Saccharomyces cerevisiae S288C: one gene and its partner. The gene in region 2 interacts genetically with the main gene of each other region. Each region holds a gene or a part of one and is shown on either strand. Other genes may lie near its edges.

Region 1 (4,243 bases), on a different chromosome or scaffold from region 2:
AAATAAGAAATTGTTATCGTTTTTGCAGTGTATCGTATAAGGCAACAATAGCGATGTCTCCCATCAATTGACTGATAAATTCCTGCAAACTATCATTTTTTTTTTTTCATCCTTGTGCCGCGTCTGTAGCCGAAAATCTGAGAGTGCATGAATCTTAAAAAACAGAAGACTCATCGCCGTCTTTGGCACATTGGGGTTGTCTTTGACTTCTTTTGCTTATTTTTGCTCACTTTGCTTATTTTACCTATTTAACTAGAGGTTCTAAAAGAATAGCCAACCAGCGTGTAGTTCTTATTTCTAATCCTTGTCTTGTTAAGTTGAAACTTGTGATATTGGCTGAACAAATTCTCCGCATTTAGACAACACACAAATTACAGCTTTCCCCTAGTAACGATTGTTGATTGAGCTCAGACAATACGCGCAATTTAAAAACGTTTTATAGTGTAAGAGAAGACAAGTACAAGAAAAAAATGGTTGCCAATTGGGTACTTGCTCTTACGAGGCAGTTTGACCCCTTCATGTTTATGATGGTCATGGGTGTCGGCATTTCATCGAATATTCTATATAGCTTCCCATATCCTGCAAGGTGGCTAAGAATATGCTCCTACATCATGTTTGCTATCGCTTGCCTTATTTTCATTGCTGTGCAGGCACTACAAATATTACATTTGATTGTCTATATTAAGGAGAAAAGCTTCAGAGAATATTTTAATGACTTTTTCAGAAATATGAAGCACAATTTATTTTGGGGTACTTATCCCATGGGGTTAGTTACAATTATAAATTTCTTAGGAGCACTCTCGAAAGCGAACACGACGAAGAGCCCCACTAATGCCAGAAATTTGATGATATTTGTTTACGTCTTGTGGTGGTATGATCTCGCAGTCTGTCTAGTAATAGCGTGGGGTATCTCGTTTCTCATCTGGCATGACTATTACCCTTTGGAAGGGATTGGGAATTATCCTTCATATAATATCAAAATGGCATCCGAAAACATGAAAAGTGTATTGCTACTGGATATCATTCCGCTGGTTGTCGTCGCTTCAAGTTGTGGAACATTCACAATGTCAGAAATATTCTTCCATGCGTTTAATAGAAACATTCAACTGATAACGTTGGTCATATGTGCCTTAACGTGGCTGCATGCCATTATCTTCGTCTTCATACTGATTGCGATATACTTCTGGAGTCTTTATATTAATAAGATACCACCAATGACACAGGTTTTCACCTTATTCCTGCTTTTGGGCCCGATGGGCCAAGGAAGTTTTGGAGTCTTATTGCTTACAGATAATATAAAAAAATATGCGGGCAAATATTACCCAACAGATAACATTACAAGAGAACAAGAGATATTGACTATTGCAGTTCCATGGTGTTTCAAAATTCTAGGCATGGTTTCTGCTATGGCATTGCTCGCTATGGGCTATTTTTTCACCGTGATTTCTGTCGTTTCAATCCTGTCGTACTACAATAAAAAAGAGATTGAAAACGAGACAGGAAAAGTGAAGAGAGTTTATACCTTCCACAAAGGTTTTTGGGGGATGACTTTCCCGATGGGTACTATGTCTTTAGGAAACGAAGAGTTATATGTGCAGTATAACCAGTACGTTCCCTTATATGCATTTAGAGTCCTAGGAACCATATACGGCGGTGTTTGCGTTTGTTGGTCAATTCTATGCCTTTTATGCACATTGCATGAGTATTCTAAAAAGATGCTGCATGCTGCCCGTAAATCTTCATTATTTTCAGAGTCAGGTACGGAAAAGACGACAGTTTCTCCGTATAACAGCATTGAAAGCGTGGAAGAATCAAACTCGGCTCTAGATTTTACGCGTTTAGCATAAAATTGTTGGTTTTATACGTACATAATTGGCAAGCATTTCATGTAGGAGTCTCAATAGATAGTTTAATTCATTTGCACGGCGCTTTGCTGCTTTTGCTTCTTCACGTTGGTTTTCACTATGCCTGATATTTTTTGACGTCACTTAGTAAGCACGACCCTTGTCAATTTTTCGAGGATTTCGGAGCTTTCCATTTGGAATCTACTATTAAAATCAGTCTAAAAAAGTATAAGAAACACTTCTGGTTTTTCTCATGCGCTTCTCACTCTCAGTATATTTTGCTGCTTTCCTTCATATGTATATATATCTATTTACATATTAGTTTACAGAACTTTATGCTTTCTGCAACCAAACAAACATTTAGAAGTCTACAGATAAGAACTATGTCCACGAACACCAAGCATTACGATTACCTCGTCATCGGGGGTGGCTCAGGGGGTGTTGCTTCCGCAAGAAGAGCTGCATCTTATGGTGCGAAGACATTACTAGTTGAAGCTAAGGCTCTTGGTGGTACCTGTGTTAACGTGGGTTGTGTTCCGAAGAAAGTCATGTGGTATGCTTCTGACCTCGCTACTAGAGTATCCCATGCAAATGAATATGGATTATATCAGAATCTTCCATTAGATAAAGAGCATTTGACTTTTAATTGGCCAGAATTTAAGCAGAAAAGGGATGCTTATGTCCATAGGTTGAACGGTATATACCAGAAGAATTTAGAAAAAGAAAAAGTGGATGTTGTATTTGGATGGGCTAGATTCAATAAGGACGGTAATGTTGAAGTTCAGAAAAGGGATAATACTACTGAAGTTTACTCCGCTAACCATATTTTAGTTGCGACCGGTGGAAAGGCTATTTTCCCCGAAAACATTCCAGGTTTCGAATTAGGTACTGATTCTGATGGGTTCTTTAGATTGGAAGAACAACCTAAGAAAGTTGTTGTTGTTGGCGCTGGTTATATTGGTATTGAGCTAGCAGGTGTGTTCCATGGGCTGGGATCCGAAACGCACTTGGTAATTAGAGGTGAAACTGTCTTGAGAAAATTTGATGAATGCATCCAGAACACTATTACTGACCATTACGTAAAGGAAGGCATCAACGTTCATAAACTATCCAAAATTGTTAAGGTGGAGAAAAATGTAGAAACTGACAAACTGAAAATACATATGAATGACTCAAAGTCCATCGATGACGTTGACGAATTAATTTGGACAATTGGACGTAAATCCCATCTAGGTATGGGTTCAGAAAATGTAGGTATAAAGCTGAACTCTCATGACCAAATAATTGCTGATGAATATCAGAACACCAATGTTCCAAACATTTATTCTCTAGGTGACGTTGTTGGAAAAGTTGAATTGACACCTGTCGCTATTGCAGCGGGCAGAAAGCTGTCTAATAGACTGTTTGGTCCAGAGAAATTCCGTAATGACAAACTAGATTACGAGAACGTCCCCAGCGTAATTTTCTCACATCCTGAAGCCGGTTCCATTGGTATTTCTGAGAAGGAAGCCATTGAAAAGTACGGTAAGGAGAATATAAAGGTCTACAATTCCAAATTTACCGCCATGTACTATGCTATGTTGAGTGAGAAATCACCCACAAGATATAAAATTGTTTGTGCGGGACCAAATGAAAAGGTTGTCGGTCTGCACATTGTTGGTGATTCCTCTGCAGAAATCTTGCAAGGGTTCGGTGTTGCTATAAAGATGGGTGCCACTAAGGCTGATTTCGATAATTGTGTTGCTATTCATCCGACTAGCGCAGAAGAATTGGTTACTATGAGATGAAGCAACGAAACTAGACGTCCAATCTGCTGTTGCTATACTGGACTTTTGTACTCTTGTAAACAATCTTATATAGCATCCTGAAATACGTAGTAATTTTGTCATTTCTGTTCAAGGACAAGGGTTCCTTTTTTTTTCAGACTATTAGCTACTGTGGACTCGCTTGGATATTCAGTTGAGGATACATTCCGACTCTCGTTTACAATACATATGATTATTTTTCTTTTTGTTAATTATATAAAAAATAAAGTTATTTGATTTTAAGCTTAAAAATACACAAAATACAGAATAAGAAAGGAGTTTTTGAACAAAAGAATTTATCTTTTACTGCTTTCTAACTTTAAGCCTTCAAAGAAGAAGCTCTTCTCTTTCTGATTTCAGCCTTCTCAGCCTTTCTTTCAGACAATCTCTTAGCCAACAATTGAGCGTATTCGGCAGCAGCTTCTCTTTGAGCTTGAGCGTTTCTGACCTTCAAAGCTCTTTGGTGTCTCTTTCTTTGCAATCTTTGAGGAGTAACCAATCTTTGGATCTTTGGAGCCTTGGTGTAAGTCTTTTCACCCTTGGTGACTTCTCTTCTGATGACGAAATCACGAACGTCATCTTCCTTGGACAAAC
Region 2 (2,824 bases):
TGAGGTCCAGAGGAAATAGAAGGATTGTAAGCGGCCTCCACTAAATTTTGACCCCTCATACATGCTTGTTCAAACACAAAAGATTGAGGTTGAAAACTTGGCAAGAATTGGGCTAGGAGAAAGTGGCCAGGTGCTTCTTGTTCAGAACCAAGCAGATATGCTAGCACAATGTGCACCGTTCTATTTTTTTCTATAGTGTGTTTACATTTCTTGGCACATTGCGTTCGGTTTCAAATTTGTATAATTATTATTGGAGCGAGACAGGCGTTTCTGTACCGCTGTTATTTTTAACATCCACTGCGTTTTATGTATCTCTAAAATTGTGCGTTGCCTTTCTTTTGTTTATATTTTTGTTCAAAAAATGAGTTAATAATGATTTTTCATCTTCGGCTTACCGGTCTTGAAAATATTTGTTAAGACAACAGTGGATAAAATAAAACTAAACAACTCAAGCAAAAGTATTCCACTTCTTAAACAAAGCCCAACTGAAAGGTTGCGAAATACTATGTCATTTTGATTTAATCATCTAATGCTCGAGAAAATTTCAGAGCCGTAATACTTAAGTAATCGGAAGAAAAGTATCTCATTCTTCATTTTTCTCCAAATATATACCTCTTGTGTGAAAAATTAATTGTTTCCTCCACCTCCTTTGTGTGGTGGGCAATTGTGTGCTTCCGAGTAAATAACAAAACATAAGGATAATATATAATTCTGTTTTTTTGTCTAAAAAAGGTAAACTATATATAACAAACACAGTATAGAAACACAATATATCGGTCATTGGGTGAGTTTAAGCATTAGCAGCAATGGCTTGCTTAATAGCCGCTGGGTTGGCACCAACAACCTTTGCAACTTCCTTACCGTTCTTGAATAGAAGCAAAGTTGGCATAGCGGAAACTTCATTCTTTTGTGCAACATCACCCAATTCATCGACATCCAATTTATAGAAATCAGCTTGTGGGTATTGTTCAGAGAATTTTTCAATCATTGGAGCAATCATTTTACATGGACCGCACCAAGTGGCGTAGAAATCTACGACAACTAGCTTGTCTTGAGCAATTGCAGAGTCGAATTCGCTGGCAGTTTTGAATTGAGTAACCATTATTTGTATCGAGGTGTCTAGTCTTCTATTACACTAATGCAGTTTCAGGGTTTTGGAAACCACACTGTTTAAACAGTGTTCCTTAATCAAGGATACCTCTTTTTTTTTCCTTGGTTCCACTAATTCATCGGTTTTTTTTTTGGAAGACATCTTTTCCAACGAAAAGAATATACATATCGTTTAAGAGAAATTCTCCAAATTTGTAAAGAAGCGGACCCAGACTTAAGCCTAACCAGGCCAATTCAACAGACTGTCGGCAACTTCTTGTCTGGTCTTTCCATGGTAAGTGACAGTGCAGTAATAATATGAACCAATTTATTTTTCGTTACATAAAAATGCTTATAAAACTTTAACTAATAATTAGAGATTAAATCGCTTATTGCTTAGCGTTGGTAGCAGCAGTCAACTTAGCTTGTTCAACCAAGTTTTGTGGAGCATCGAAGACTGGCAACATGATTTCAATCATTCTGATCTTAGAGTTGTCGTTGAAAGACTTGTCTTGGGTCAACTTGTCCCATTCACCGGTGGTAGCGACTCTGTGGGTTTCATAGTCCTTAGCACCGAAAGTTGGCAACAAGGATAGGTGGTCCCAACCTTGAATTTCGTTGTATTGAGCCTTTGGACCGTGAATCAACTTTTCAATGGTGTAACCATCGTTGTTCAAGACGAACAAGTATGGCTTCAAGCCCCATCTGATCATGGTGGAGATTTCTTGAACAGTCAATTGCAAAGAACCGTCACCAATGAATAAGATAACTCTCTTCTTTGGATCAATTTCTTCAGCAGCGAAAGCAGCACCCAAGGTAGCACCAGTGGTGAAACCAATGGAACCCCATAAGACTTGAGAGATACCGTAGGTGTTGTTTGGGAAAGTGGTTTGGTTGATACCGAAAGCGGAGGTACCGGTTTCAGCAATGACAACATCACCTTCTTGCAAGAAGTTACCCAATTGGTTCCACATCCATTCTTGCTTCAATGGGGTAGAAGCTGGGACAGCAGCGTTAGCTGGAGTTCTAGCTGGGACAGCAACTGGCTTGTAACCCTTAGCGGCGTCAGCAATAGTGGTCAACAACTTTTGCAAAACGAATTTCATTTGGACACCTGGGAAAGTGGCGTTTCTGATCTTCATGTGGTCGGAGTGGAATTCGACAATGTTCTTGGTCTTGTAAGAGTAAGAGAAAGAACCGGTGTTGAAATCAGACAACAAAGCACCGACAGACAAAATCAAGTCAGCAGATTCAACGGCTTCCTTAACTTCTGGCTTGGACAAGGTACCGACGTAAACACCACCGTATCTTGGGTGTTGTTCGTCAATGGAACCCTTACCCATTGGGGTGACGAAAGCTGGGAATTGAGTCAAGTCAATCAACTTCTTAGTTTCAGCCTTGACGTCGTGTCTGGAACAACAAGCATCAGCCAAGATAACTGGGTTCTTAGCATCCTTGACCAAAGCCAAGATGGTGTCAATGACTTCCTTTTCGGATTCAGCATCGTTTGGCTTCAAAGACATGTCAATTGGAGTTTGCAACAACTTAGCTGGGACGTTCAAGTCGACCAAGTTAGCTGGCAAACCTAAGTAGACTGGTCTTTGGGTGACGTAAGTGGTTCTGATACATCTGTCAATTTCAGCTGGGGCGGTAGCAATGTCAGTGATCATAGCAGTGGTTTCAGAAATGTTGGCAGACATTCTGTGGAAAACAGTGAAGTCACCGTTACCCAAGG

Evidence for each region.
Region 1: of TRX1 (region 2) and GLR1, changing one enhances a phenotype caused by changing the other (phenotypic enhancement), as found in Saccharomyces cerevisiae (one study listed by BioGRID).

What each region holds. Positions count from the first base shown.
Region 1 is NC_001148.4:373,323-377,565, forward strand, and holds GLR1 (glutathione-disulfide reductase GLR1), read left to right. Parts: upstream 1-2,179; coding exon 2,180-3,631; downstream 3,632-4,243. Other genes in the region: SSU1 (Ssu1p), read left to right, coding at 471-1,847; 40S ribosomal protein eS6 RPS6A, read right to left, coding at 3,969-4,243. UniProt on the Saccharomyces cerevisiae protein: Catalyzes the reduction of glutathione disulfide (GSSG) to reduced glutathione (GSH). Constitutes the major mechanism to maintain a high GSH:GSSG ratio in the cytosol.
Region 2 is NC_001144.5:230,912-233,735, forward strand, and holds TRX1 (thioredoxin TRX1), read right to left. Parts: upstream 1,103-2,824; coding exon 791-1,102; downstream 1-790. Other genes in the region: PDC1 (indolepyruvate decarboxylase 1), read right to left, coding at 1,479-2,824. UniProt on the Saccharomyces cerevisiae protein: Participates as a hydrogen donor in redox reactions through the reversible oxidation of its active center dithiol to a disulfide, accompanied by the transfer of 2 electrons and 2 protons.